4 linked regions of the Caenorhabditis elegans genome follow. The protein of the gene in region 3 purifies or fractionates together with the protein of the main gene of each other region. This does not show direct contact. Each region holds a gene or a part of one and is shown on either strand. Other genes may lie near its edges.

The links.
Region 1: the proteins of cpr-1 (region 3) and F42A10.6 fractionate together in Caenorhabditis elegans (co-fractionation; one large-scale study listed by BioGRID). This does not show direct contact.
Region 2: the proteins of cpr-1 (region 3) and pfn-1 fractionate together in Caenorhabditis elegans (co-fractionation; one large-scale study listed by BioGRID). This does not show direct contact.
Region 4: the proteins of cpr-1 (region 3) and lys-4 fractionate together in Caenorhabditis elegans (co-fractionation; one large-scale study listed by BioGRID). This does not show direct contact.

What each region holds. Positions count from the first base shown.
Region 1 is NC_003281.10:6,175,617-6,178,403, forward strand, and holds F42A10.6 (MD-2-related lipid-recognition domain-containing protein), read right to left. Parts: upstream 1,246-2,787; coding exon 1,095-1,245; intron 1,048-1,094; coding exon 882-1,047; intron 837-881; coding exon 722-836; intron 677-721; coding exon 578-676; 3' UTR 541-577; downstream 1-540. Other genes in the region: abcf-3 (ABC transporter domain-containing protein), read left to right, coding at 1-95, 196-436; F42A10.7 (MD-2-related lipid-recognition domain-containing protein), read right to left, coding at 2,399-2,609, 2,709-2,787.
Region 2 is NC_003279.8:12,920,489-12,924,118, reverse strand, and holds pfn-1 (Profilin-1), read right to left. Parts: upstream 2,116-3,630; 5' UTR 2,080-2,115; coding exon 1,954-2,079; intron 1,110-1,953; coding exon 837-1,109; 3' UTR 571-836; downstream 1-570. UniProt on the Caenorhabditis elegans protein: Binds to actin and affects the structure of the cytoskeleton. At high concentrations, profilin prevents the polymerization of actin, whereas it enhances it at low concentrations. By binding to PIP2, it inhibits the formation of IP3 and DG.
Region 3 is NC_003283.11:11,973,552-11,977,309, reverse strand, and holds cpr-1 (Gut-specific cysteine proteinase), read right to left. Parts: upstream 1,760-3,758; 5' UTR 1,731-1,759; coding exon 1,728-1,730; intron 1,646-1,727; coding exon 982-1,645; intron 936-981; coding exon 613-935; 3' UTR 554-612; downstream 1-553. Other genes in the region: MIF-like protein mif-2, read left to right, coding at 162-260, 353-433. UniProt on the Caenorhabditis elegans protein: Thiol protease. Has a role as a digestive enzyme.
Region 4 is NC_003282.8:11,620,914-11,625,166, forward strand, and holds lys-4 (LYSozyme), read right to left. Parts: upstream 2,262-4,253; 5' UTR 2,186-2,261; coding exon 1,984-2,185; intron 1,393-1,983; exon of another isoform or gene 1,372-1,392; intron 1,026-1,371; coding exon 583-1,025; 3' UTR 516-582; downstream 1-515. Other genes in the region: dsl-5 (Delta-like protein), read right to left, coding at 1-25; lys-5 (Lysozyme-like protein 5), read right to left, coding at 3,383-3,825.

The sequences.
Region 1 (2,787 bases), on a different chromosome or scaffold from region 3:
TTTGGATTAGCTGGTGATATGGCTTTGCAATCTGTTGAGACACTTTCTGGAGGTCAAAAGTCTCGATTGGCATTTGCTAATTTAGCCTTGATGCAGTGAGTTTTGCTTGAAAATAGCAACATTTTCAAAAAATATTCATTTTTTCCTAGAAAAAAAAATTTATTCAAACTCCGTCTAATTCATAGTATTTTTCAGGCCAAACTACTTGATTCTTGACGAGCCTACTAATCACTTGGATGTCGAAACGGTTGAAGCTCTTGGAAAAGCGCTTAATGTTTTCAATGGAGGTGTCGTTTTAGTTTCTCACGACGAGCAACTCATCGAGCTTGTGTGCAAGGAACTTTGGGTTGTGAAGGATCGAATGGTGACAACTTTGGAGGGAGGACTCGAAGAATACAGAAAGCAAGTCTACAAGCAGCTTCAACTCACTGCCTAAATTTTTCCTGTTTTGTTTCGCATTCGGTTGTTTCCCATATTTCACCCAGTTTCCACGTTTTGTTACACTATTTAAGAATTCAATTTATAATTTTTGTTGAGAAAAAAGTTTATTGCTTTATTAAATTGTTCACTTCAAAATTTAAGTATGAGTGAGAGCTCTAGCCTGGAAAATAATGCAAAGGTCTTCCTTGCTCGGGTCATCATGAAGAAGATACTCGAGTTGGTAAGGCTTATCGTTCTGAAATTGGGGGTTTAACTTTCGAAGAATACACATCAAAATAACCTTGAGAAGATTGATGATAGCTGGAGTATCAGAGAAGTCGAGTTCCAAATTGATGACCTTGTTTTTCGGTTCAATTGGGCATGGTACTCCGTTGGTACAAGCATCGATGTTGTTCCTGGAAAAGGTTACTGTAGGTTACTGTAAGAAGCAAAAATCTTACAAAAGTCCAAAAGTTGGTACTGAAGACCATCCACAAGTAGCCATATTCCATGACCAGACCTTGATAGTTTGTTTAAGTCCAGGAGTAGTATAAGTTGAGGATGGATCATTGATGGATGTTGCAATGAGAAGTGGTTCAGTAAGACGGATTGGATATTCACTGTTACCTGGATTCAATTATACATTCGTAGAAACTATCAGAAAACTTGCGAACCACTCTTATCAGTTGGATTAACATTGGTCACCATAACTGGTCCATTTGAGCATTGCCACCAGTTGACCTTTGTCTCTGTAGTATTCGGCCATTGATCGCATGCCGACGAGAGAGCAAGTAGGGCGAAGAGACACAGACAACGAGCAAGCATCTGGAATTGAAGTAGAATTTTTCGTTTCGAAAGCTAGTGGATGTGATCTAAGTTGGAATAAAATAGTGAATCTGTAATTGGTTAACTGGGAAATTTGAGAAAATGGAAAACTAAATTGCAAAATGATCATCAAATTCGATAGGAAAAACTACGATAAGAGAAATATCAAAGCACATGGCAATTTGAAGAAACCACGCGTTTTAATAGTTTTTTGCATGTAATTGTGATTCTAGAATAAAAAAGAGGTCACAGAGAACCGGAAATATCCACAGGAAGTACTCATTTTCATTGAAAAAATTTCATATGTATATTGAGTATTCCTGAGAAATGCACCTTTCGAAGTCTCGCCACGATTGAAAATTTTGCTCACTCGTGCTATGCGCCTTTAAAACTTGGGTACCATACATTTTTATTTTTCATTACTTTGTTCAGCAACTTTAGCTTTATCAGCGTCTTAATATTACGTAGACGTCAGAAGATGAGAGTTTCCGTCATAATTTACGCAAATGGGTCTCGCCACGCGGAAAGCGGGTTACTGTAACACGTGTCAATATGAAGGCCGCTACTGCACCATGTTTTTCTAATACAATGAATAACTGATTCCAAGCTTTTTAAAATAAAATTATGATACAATGGAGGCCTAAGAAATTGACGCGTGGTAAAGTAACTCGTTGTACTCATAAGATATGAAGAAAATTTTCATTTTTGACGTCTATGCGATTTTTATATTCTTCTTCTATTTTGATCATTAAATCCGATGAATTGAAGGAAAGACAAAGTTTTAAAAAACCTGTGCAAGCACGTATTCTTCATACTTCCAACTTTAGGTACTTATTGAAATTTCTCAGTTTTCAAACTATAACTGAATCGGGAAATTATTAATAATTTCTGATTCCTTGTTTACTTGTTTGATTTTTGGTTCATTGCCAAAATGGCAAATATGCAACATTTTCCAGTGCGAATAGTTCTTTTTTATCAAAATGTTATCGCAACTTTAGTTCGATTTCGGAAATTTTTCCTTCAAATTGATAATGAACAAAAACCAACAAAAAGTCAAGATTATGTACATTTTATTGTTGTTAAAATATACGCCCGTGTTATAGTGCAAATATAATTAGAAATCTTAAAGCCAATCGCCAAATGGGAAAGCATTTTACTTAAGGAAGGCCCAAGCCTGGACCATCATGCATGAGGTGTCTCCGGATTGGTTGTCGTGAAGGATGTACTCGAGTTGATATGGCTGATTGTCCTTGAGTAAGGCGATGATTTGGTCGAACTTGGTGAAGTCAATGATGACGTCAAGTTCTTGGTTTCCTGGACGGACTGGGCATGGGACTCCGTTTGCGCAGGCGTCAAGGTCCTTCCTGGAAGATGAATCGTTATTTATTATTTAGAAGTCGAGAATAGCCTAAACAGTTCACCCATTCTAATCCATTAGAATTAACTTAAAGATATAAACTTACAAAAGACCGAGAGTTGGGATTGAGCTCCATGTGCATCCGTTCCATCCTCCATACTTCCAGATATTGACGGTGTTACGAA
Region 2 (3,630 bases), on a different chromosome or scaffold from region 3:
TTTCCCTAAAAACATTGAAAAATCGAAAAACGGCACCCTTTTCTGAGACGAAAATTTATGATTTTCCGATATATAGAAAAATTCCATATTTTCGAAAAGCTTAAACTTTCGGCCATTTTTTCTTACGTACTCTTATGGGTTTTCTCATAAAAAATAATACGAAGACGCCGAAAAATAAAAATTTCCGCCATATCTCACTCCCACGGGTCTCGCCACGCTGGCAACAGGTTACTGTAAACCGACAGGAGTTACAGTAACCGTGTTGTCTGCCTAGCGAGACCCATTCGCGTAAGATATTGTGGAAAATTTCATTTGACAAATGTGATTACTTTTTAATTGTTTTTCCCTCATTTTCTAGACATCTTTTTCCGAGTTTTTTTTCTCTAAACGATTTTTGCAAACGATGATAAAAATCTGTAAAATGATTCTGACCAAAAAACCGCGCCGCACAATTGCAGTGTGGGCGTGGTTTCGAAAAAAACACGCGATAATTGCTCCGAGCACAAAACTCTTCTCTCACTCTCTTTCTCCGTCGATGGGAGATGAAAATGAAATAATCGAGAAGGCATTGAATTGGCAATGAATTTACTAGAAAACAAAACGGGGGAATACAATACATTATGATAAAGCTGAAAGTGAAATAAAAACTGTTTCTGTGTTTGCTCTGGGAATGGGAGTTTTGAGGGAAAGATTACGCGGAAGAAAACCGAATTTCATCGTTGTACTCGTAGAAATCAAGGTTTGGGAGAAGGGAGAAGGGGGAAGTTTGCAAAAAAAAAATAGAGAAAAGCGGGAATAAATACGAATCGAACAACAATCGATAGAGAGAGAAGTATTTAGTATCCAGCATTGTTGAGATAGGTTTGCATACTCTCGACAGCCTTGCGAACTTGTGCAGCAACTTCATTTGGTCCCTCGTAGACAGCAATCAAGACTGCAGACTTGGTCTTCACAGCGAAGAATCCAGTGTTCTCCTTTTTTCCGAAGATGAGCGATTCTTCGGTACGTGGAACGACGTAATGAACTCCTTCGATATCGGCTCCTTTTGCTGGAACTTGAGTGACGTCATTGAATAGGGCAACGAAGGTTTTGAGCTCTTCTTCGGATGCCTGGAAATTGGAAAAAATTAGAGAAGTTTTTGGACAGGAAATATTTCTTGTTAAAAAATTTGCGCTTTGAAATTTCCAAAAATTCGAAATTTTAAATCCAGTAACCCTAAAGTTAGCCTTTTTCCCCAATTTTCGCATTTTTAGGCCTCAAAACACTGAAATTTCCAAAAAAATCGGCTTATTCTTGGCCGAGATACTGGAAAATCACAAATTTCAGTCTGTGAATTTACATTTTGCAGGAAAAAATCTTCGAATTTTAATTTTTTTTTTAACGCTTTTTAACTCTAAATTTTCATGAAATTGAAAAATCTGAAAAAAAAAAGTTTAGAAAATTCCAGAGTAGGCAGGCTTCAGGCGGCTGAAATACAAGTAGGCTCTAATGTAGGTATCAGGCAGGCCACCTCGAAGGTAGTCAGGCAGGTAACTTGCCTGACCTTCAAGGTAGCCTAAGCCTGTCTGCTGCCTACTTGGGTTTCGAAGAAGTATAAACTATATGAGAAACAGGGGCTGGTAGGCAGGCACGGCCGCCTGAAGCCTGCCTAATCTGGAATTTTTTAATTTTGTTCGAAAAATAATGAAAATTTTGCAATTTTTGAGTGGATTTGCTAATTATTCCTGTAAAATGTAAATTCAGCGGCTAAAAATTTCGATTTTCAATTCAAAAAGTGAATAATTTCGCGAGATTTTCAGTTTTTTGGGTCAAAATGCGAAAATTCCAACAAAAATCGACCCCGCTAGCTCTTTTCAATCTCAAAAATGGGTCAATTTAAGGATTTTTCAATCGTTTCCAGTTTTAATCGATTTTTTCTCGAGCTTCTTCGATGATTTTCGTCCATTTCCATACCTTGAACACATTGTCAGCCTCAGTACGAGCCCAGACAGATCCATCAGCGGCTCCGACGATTGCACACCGTTTGATTGATGGAGCAGCGGCAGTCATTGTGTCGATGTAGGCATTCCATCCGGACATTTTTGTGTTTTGGAGGAGGTTGAAGCGGAGATTATACTGAAAAAATAAACATAAATTATGATTGAGATGGTTGGAGGGGTAATGAGAAATGATAATATGAAGAAAGAGCACAAATTAGGAGAAAAAGAGCATAAAATCGCTTGAAAATTACGGTTTTTGTAAACAATCGATTATTTTTTGATTTACTGCGCAAAAAATGGAATTTTAATGCCGAAATACCCAAAAATTGATATTTCCGCAGATTTTTTGCTTATCTGTGGTGTAAGTTGGTGGCGAAGAACTTGCGAATGGATAAAATGACAAAAACCAACAAAATCTCACTAAATTCACAATTTTCTCGCCAATGTAGTGCAAAAATTGAGCTTCTTTCATGAATTTCTTGGAAATTTTCTGTGAATTGAGCCGATTTAAACCAAAATTGGCATTTTACCTAGAGTTGACCAATTTTCGATGATTTTCAGACCATTTTCAGGCCAAAAAGGCGGAATTGAAGCTCGAAAACACCGAAAACTACCAAAAACTACGAAAATAGTAAATATTTCGAGTTTCAGATGTAGAAAACTTGGAAAAATTCAGCTTTTGGAAGATCTCGCCTCGAGAAATTAGGACCAACTTAAGGGAGAATTCTTTTTAAAAAAGCAACGTTTTGAGGCGAATTTTCAACTACTAGAGGATTTGAACTATCTAGAGCAATCTGAGAATTTAATTTCACAAGAAAAATGGCATAAAATCGCCAGATGACCCAAAATTGAGAGAAATTAAAGAAAACTTCCAATTTCAAATTCCGAAAGATGAAAATTGCTACGAAAACTAGAGGACATCTTTGACCACCCGGAACACTCCATCTAATTGGCTGGGCAAATGGAGAAGCAGTGAATGACAGTGAGGAAAAGCAATAGAGAGAAGAAGAGAAAGAGAATGTTTGCATGCCATCTGGTGCTCTCCTTCTTCCCCTTTTCAACCCGAACAACGAGCTTGTGCTCCTGCTCCTGCCTGCTTGCTCCGCTGGTCAGTTATTCACCCATAAAGGACGAAAAGAGAGACAGAGACCGCCCATCAAATTGAATGTGTGTGTACTACTAAAAGAGGGTGAAATAACCCGCCTCAATCCATACTAATGTCAAATGCAGTTGCAATTTATATTGAACACACAGACCCAGAGACACAACCAAAGCCAATGATGAATCATTTTGAAGAGAACACAGCGAAGACGACGGAGGAGAAAGAGAACCAAAAGGCGATAGAAGACGAGTTGCGAAACAATTCAATTTGAACAAAGCTTTCTAGCTTTGAAAATTGCGAAATTGAGCGCTGAAAATGGATCTTAATGCCGAGAATGACCAGTGGATTGCGAAATTGGAATGGTGAGTCACATGGAACAGCAGGTCGCCAAAAATCGTCGAGGAAGCTTCAAGTTGTTATAATATTCGCAGTTTTTTCTGCCAAGGAGATCTGAAAGTCATTTAGAAGAAAAAAAATACATCAAAATGCTCAAAAATCATAAAAATATTCGAAATTTTGATGATCGAAGCCCCAAAAAAGTCACGAAAT
Region 3 (3,758 bases):
AAGTGACTTAGGAACACTTTCCAAAAGTAACACCTTGGTAAACCAAAACCTTTAAAACTACATTTAAGTTCCTTGTTACACTTAGAAAGGAAATTAAAACTTTATGAAACCATCCTTTTTCTGGCAGAAGTTCAAAATTCTCGCAATAATAAATTCTTTAGATCAAATCAATCGGAGCAGTGTCTGCTGAAGACAATATTCGCAATACGGCAGCCATCACTGAGTTTTGTGGAAAGGAATTGGGTCTTCCAAAAGATAAGGTAAGTGTAGTTTATGTCAAACATTTAAGTCACAAATATTTCGTTATGTTTTATTAATCAAACAATGGATTATTGATATTTCAAAATTTCAGGTTGTTATCACATTCCACGACTTACCACCAGCTACGGTAGGGTTCAACGGTACAACTGTCGCCGAAGCAAATAAGAAATAATTTTTGATGTCAGTTGTTCATAATGTGACTAGATTAATTTTGATTTCATGCACTTTTGTAATTGCTCTTCGTAAATTTTAATAAAGATATATATATTTCAGAAGATTTAAGAACAAATTTAAATTATGAACATTTTTATTTGGCAGATGGTAATTACAAAAATTGTGTACATAATGCATTTAGACCTTGGCCTTTCCGGCGACAACTGCTGATTCAATTCCGCATTGATCATCTCCACGGTAGATCTTGAAGAAACCGCTCTCTCCCCAGTTAACTCCCCATGAGTTGGCAACAAGCCAGTATGGAGATCCGCTCTCAGTTCCCCATCCGATGATCTTAATGGCGTGTCCTCCGAGGTACTTTCCGGCGGTGTGCTTGTAAACTCCGCTCTTGTATTTGTAGAAGTCTTCGTAAACAGAGAATGCAGCCTCAACTGGTCCATTAGCGTAGATTTCAGCTTGGATGGATGCAGCATTCTTTGGAACAGCGTAGGCAGAGACTCCTGAAATAATATAATTATTCCACAATTCTATGTAATTTTTACAAACCGAAGTGCTTGTCCTTGGCGTAGGCAGTTGAATATCCAGATTGGCAGCTCATTGAGCAAGATGGAGTCTTGGATTCTGGGCAGTTTCCAGATGTGCATGGGGCAATTGGGTATGGTTTGCATCCAGCTCCGTGGTAGTCTCCACCAGTAACAACTCCCTTTGAGTCCCACCATCTGAGAGCTTGAATTGGGTATCCTCCTTCACATCCATTTCCGCAGGAAGATCCGCAGCAGGAGAGAAGATCATCTGGAGAGATGATTGGTTGTTGGGCTCCCTTGGTCTCAATGCAGGTACGGTCAGAGATCATCTCAGCTGCTCCGAAAGCCCAGCAGGATCCACAGGTGGCTTGGTCACGGATAAGCTTGATGGACTTGCACTCGGACCATTGGGTACGAGAATCGAAGGTGGCTGGGACAGAGGCGAGAACAACTTCTTGTTCGGTGGCACGGATTTCATCGGAGTGGGCAGCAGCGTACTTTCCATCCATAAGCTTGAATTTCATCTCCTCCTCGGTAATCTCAACATGCTCAGTCTTGAACAAAGATTGAGCTGAGTTGACATAATCAACAAGAGCCTGACCGGTGAGGGTCTCAACAGCCGATTGATGATTGATTGGGACAAAGGCAAGCGTGACTGCGCAGAGCGCGGTAAGGATAAGGAACTTCTGAAATGTCAAGATGAATGCCAAATTAAAAATCGAAAGTAATTTTTATTTGAAATTTCCTAACTAGAAATCAAAGACTTACCATATTTGTTGAAAGAAGTTGAGCGATAAGCTGCCTTCTTTACCGCACGTCTCCCTTATATACCATTTTACAATGTCTTATCAATCTTCCGATTCTGTGGTTTTCTCTAGTTCTTGACGTCGAAAAGCTTCGTACCAGTGCTCAGTGCTCACGTGCTGCCCTTCCTTTTCTTCTTATCAGTATTTGATCGGTAATTCGGAACTGATTTAGGAGAGCATCTGAACCGGAATTCATCTGTGATACCAATTCATTAAAAGGAATTCAGTGAAATTTTCTAGTTTCTGCAAACCGAACTTGGGAACAAAAAACGCGACTTCCGATCTATAATCTGTCAAAAAGTTTCCCGGCAACACGAAACACAGTCAACAGAATTATGGCTGGATTACGGTAGGTTTCTGATAATAAACTTCATTTCAGTGTAAATGTCGGCAGTGCTCACAATTTCTTCGTTTACTTAGGAATAATTATTTCTTCACATGACCTTTCCTTTTAGTAAAACACACTTTTTATCGTAGGCATTATAAGATCAAAAGTGTATTACTCAATGCACGGCGAGAATATCAAATGTTTGAAACAGAAAAATTGGTTACATGTTTAAATTAATAAAATATATTTAAATGTTCCCTGATTTTCGAAAACACATATTTTCCCACCAGGATTATGAGCTTTCGTCACAACTTTTGAAACAAAAAATTAATTATCCAAATGAAAAGGAAGTTGAAAAAAGTCACGTACATTCATCCCGTTTCCCCACTTTTTCATTGACTCCATGTCTTTTCATGATGAGATCATTTTGCAATTGATACATTTTCTATCTATTTCAGTAAAACAAAAAGTAGATATTTGAACGATAAGTTCAAGAATAGTTATTCAATGTAATGAGAATTGCAACTCTACAAAAATTTCCACAGGATAACTCGTCAAAAATAATAACTTTTTTGGACGTTAAAATCACATTGTTTTTTCTATACATATATTATGTCTAGACCGAGGACCTATTGAATTTTTACGTCCAAAATTAAACGCTCGTTGAAAGATTTGATGCTGAAAATCATTAAAAAATATTTCAAAAGTTTTTAGAATATTCAAACTTGATATGTCTACTGAGTTTTTTAAAAAACTATTTCAAATTTCTTCCAATGGTGCTAAAATCATCTTTAAAATTTTAAGTCAAGTGAGTGGAAAATACTTACTTTTGACCTATCATAGTTTTGGAAGTCTGCCAAAAATGTTTTACAAGTTTTATATTTTGTTTGCAATTTGTATTCAAATAGGCTTAGCATATGAGGCACGTTTATCAATGAGTCCAAATCTTTCAAAAATTGGTATTTACCAAATTTACGACGAAAATTGTGAAAACTCTTGAAAGAATGTATTTATTTTTTTCATTATTTTTAACCTAGGTTGAAGATATTTTGACAACACCCCAACTGGAGCTACTCCTACTCCTGCTGCTCCTGCTACTGTTTTAAAATAAGTATTGTAGGTTAAACTTTCAGAAATTTCACAAGGCGGAACAAAATTCGAAAACAAATCTTTTCCACAACCGATTTCCTGCTTCTAATCTTAGCAACTTGACATCTCCCTTCCCAACATTTTCTCTCTTGCAATTTGCTTTTCATTCATTTTTTGTTCTGCTCCGTCCCTTCAAAACTCTCGACAACCCACAATGGCAACCCCACGCGGAGCATTGTTCTGAACTATTCGAGCTGAATCGACGACTTTTTTGGGTCGACCACCAACTCATTTACAAGAAAATAATAAATGACGAGGTTTTTATATACATTCAATGGGTTTATAAAGTGAATCCATCTGAACATAAAGTCAATGAAAAACCAATTATCAGCTACTGGAACCATAATTATAAACTTGGTGAGGTTGTGTAAAGTATTCAATCAACTATTTAATTTTTTGCAAGTGTATAATAGTTTTGGTGAGTGGTTGAACTTTTGAGGATAATTGAGGGGTTGGGTGACGTGAAGCAATATCACAGTTTAAACGGGAAGGTTAGAAAAAAGGAGAAAAATGAAA
Region 4 (4,253 bases), on a different chromosome or scaffold from region 3:
AGAAAGAAATCGCAAGAAGTTGCATGTTGAAATGTTGATAATGAGATGGAGAAACAAAAAAACAAGACTAAATATTTGTACTCGTCAACTTTAATTTTGATTCGATTGAGGTCAATTGTGTAATTCAAGGTTACCCCAAGTGACGTCATCACTACGCATTTTGACTTGACAACGTGTCTAGAAGATCAACAACATAATAGTTTTGAAAGAAAAGAGAACAAAAATTTAAGTTTTACCGTATCTGCTTTTTGAAATGTAAAGCCATTTTGATGTTACTATTTTGGCCGAAACTCACTTGAAACTCACAGGTCTAGATTTAAAAAAATAGAAAACAATTCTGAATGAGAATATAATTAAAGTCTCCGAACAATAATGATAAATTTTTTAAATAAGTAACAAAAAATTATTGAAAATAAAACATAATTTTCGAATGTTCTAAAACTGACCCATTTGTTGTCAGTTTTACAGTTTTAAATTGTTTCAAAAAATCAAGAAATCAATTGCGCGTCTGAAACTAGCGAAAATGTATGGGTTTACATATAAAAATTTGTTTATTCATGTTTATACATTTTGGTCAGCTATTTATGGAACATAGTTCATATCAACAGAGACTCCACATGGGCCAGTAGTGGTTCCTTCCCATTGATGAATTGTTGGTCTGCTCCATCCTCCGAAAGGTGCGAACTTTGAGAAATCCTTAATTCCATCATAGGTTGCCCACCAGAGCATCAAACTAGATTGTCCATGATAATCCAATCCAACAATATCTTGCCAATTGTAATAGTTACTGTAGATTCCAACTTGTTGCTTGTAAGCTTGAGCTTCTCTGACCATTGCCTCGATGAATGCACGGTTACTGGCGTGATTAGCTGGCCAAGCGAGACGTTCAATGTCAAGCCAGAGAGTAGAGACATGAGTTCCTGCACTCTTCAAAGCATCAAGAGTTTCCTTAACTTGATTGGCAGCAGATGGGCAGTTAGATCTCAAGCATGGGAAGATGTATCCATCGACATCGGTGAGGCCAGCTGCAAAATTTGTAATTAGCTTGGTACTGAATGAAACTTGTAGAAAACTTCAGATGTTTTAATAAATTGGAATATTATCAGTTTGAATGTTCGAACCCGTACAATGCTTATAATTGACTTGGAATACTATAAAGCTCATCCTTATGATCTGATTATTCCAACTTAAAGTGATCATAAGGGCCCCCTTACGGTCTCAATATTCAGCTCAAAAGGATCATATGATTAGTTATGGTTGAAAAAATTTTCACCTAAAACTTTTCTTTTGGAAGTTTTTCCAAAATGTTTAATTTTTTAGAAAAGCATAATTGTGGTAGTCCCTACAAGTTTGAACATTCATATTACATTTTCAGTCGAACCATCACCTAAATTGGAATTTTCTGCTATTCTGGACAATAATACTTAGAAAGAAACTGTAATTTTTTTTTTCATTTTTTAGTTTCAAGAGGTAATATATTGTTTCACTCACTAGATGCATTGTATGTATACTTGTAAAACATATTAAAGAGCAAGATTAGTTTAAATTTTGAATTCTATATTCAACCTATTGACAAATATATTTGAATATTATTATTTTTCCATACTCTGTTTACAATCATGTGACAATGCATGCCCTGGTAAACTAGACAGTCAGAGGGGACAATGAATGGTTGTAAAACGTAACGAAAAGATATTTCATTGACCACTACATCTTGACTTTTGGGAATATGTGTATTTGAATTATTTGATGGCAGTTTTTAAACAAACAAAAAGAAATAAGAAAAAGAGATAAGATTTTGTTAGTTTAAGTATTTTCTTACAAATTTAATACTCATAACTTATACTAGGAAGTATGCACAGACCTATAAGTTAGAAGTGTGAGGCGAAGAATCGCGAGGGAAAGGAGAACCAAATTGCCAAGAATGGAAATTATTTTGAAAATGGTAAAAACCATTCCTTGATACCCATCTGAAATGCTCACCTGCTCTAGCATTCTTGACGTTTTGAATTCCAGTATGATCAAGAGTTCCAACAGAAGTAAAGACTCTTGGAATTACGAAAGAATATCCAGCCTTATGAATACATTGAAATGTAGCAGTAGACACTGGTTGAATGAAATCAATTCCATTTCTAGCTGCACTTGCAGCACCGATCAAAAGCAAAGCCGAGACGAAGAACTTCATGATTCTCTGAACTCCCCTGATTAAGCCTTCACACACTTCTTTTATACTTCCCAAATACCGGAGATTCTAATTTTATGACTTTGACGCAAGCGGAAAGATAAAATCAAAAACTTCATAAACCCTCTTCTCTTATCTTTTTTGTTTTATTCAGAGGCTGATGTAAAATATGAAACAAAATATGGAGAGCAACTACACTTTCGTCTCATTTTCGAAAATATTTCTCGGGGTTTCTCGACCGTTATCTCTCGTCGTTTTTCAATATTTGCAACAATGAGATCAAAAGAACTAAAATTGAAACCTTCGACCCTCCCGAGTACTGTATTATTTCTACAAGCTAATGGTCCCGGCAGCAGGCTTGTGCGTGGTTTGTTGGCGTTGCCTAAATTAACACTAAAGAAATTATCAATTTTTCAATCCAAACATTGTGAAATTCATTGTTTATCTGTAAATTTTTTGAAGTTTATACAGTTTATTGAAAATAACTTAATTAATCTGTTTGGAAGCGTGAAAAGCTGAGAAAACATAAGGTGCTTAAAGTTAGATGCTTGAAAACGTGATTATGTTCTTGATTTGTTCCCTGCTTCAGATCACAGGTCGGCTGTGACCTAGAAAGCTTTTGAGCTCATGACTTATTCTCTTTGACGGTACATCTTCCTAAAAAATACCGGGAATTGTATTAAAAGTCATTAGCCGATTTTCAGATGATTTCAAATATACCGAGTTTTCTGAAAACCCAACTCCCCAATGTGTTTTATTTTTCGATTAGCAATTTGAACTTCGCACATTAGACTACATTATCAACCTTTTTGCTTCGTCTATCATTATTTGATTGCACGTGATTTCTGCTACCGACGATGGCATCAAAATGTGATCAATTGACGAAATACTCCACAAAAATTGATAATAACGTACATGCCTCATTTGCGTACTGTATCATTCCTTAAGGAATTCCTCAATAATTATTGCAGAAATTATTATAAAAGTTGGAATAGACTTTCTAGTAGTTTCAAAATAAAAATTAGTCATCGAAAACTGAATTTCCTTATTAAATTTCAAGTAATTTTCGATGCTTTTCAGATTACTTTGAATTGCTCGGAGCAATTCTCAAACGTTATTAAAGGAATGAATAAATCATAATAATGAACGAATGTTGTTTACTGAAATATACACTTTATTATTAAAGCGCTAAAAAATTATTTATGGAATGTAGTTCATATCAACAGAGACTCCACACGGACCAGTAGTGGTGTCAGACCACTGATGAATTGTTGGCTTCGACCATCCTCCGAATGGAGCGTACTTTGAGAAATCCTTGACTCCATCGTATGCAGGCCACCAAAGCATCAAACTAGATTGTCCATGATAATCCAATCCAACAATATCTTGCCAATTGTAATAGTTACTGTAGATTCCAACTTGTTGTCCATAAGCCTTTGCTTCACTGACCATTGCTTCAATGAATGCACGGTTGCTAGCATGATCAGCTGGCCAATTGAGACGTTCAATATCAAGCCATAGAGTGGAGATCTTAGTTCCAGCAGCCTTAACTGCATCAAGAGACGCCTTAACTTGGTTAGCAGCAGATGCGCAAGTCGATTTTAGGCAAGGGAAGATGTATCCATCGACATCAGTGAGGCCAGCTGCAACAGTGTTTTAAAAATCAAACAACTTCTAGCTACACTGGGAGTCTACAGTAACCATTAAGCCTCTTTGAAAATTTAAACAGTATACCCGGAAGTTATCTTCATACTTTTGATTTCACTAATTTTGAAACTTTCGAATTCTCACGTTACCATTTGAAGCCTCATTTGAACTCACTGACCGTAATCTAATAGGAGTTTCGACTCTTGGCGTTAACAATAGTTTTGCATAATAGTTTTGCATTTTTGACAGATAATGTTTCTATTATAATTAAAATGAAGTTACCTTTCTATAGACATAATTTAAATATTTTTAGCTCGAAAATTTTAATATGTAATATTTCCTCTATTAGTCTTGCATCCCATTGTTCAACTTTGACAATTAATATCTCAGTTGTCGTTTGTCCTATTCAAATGGTGGTTCTCGC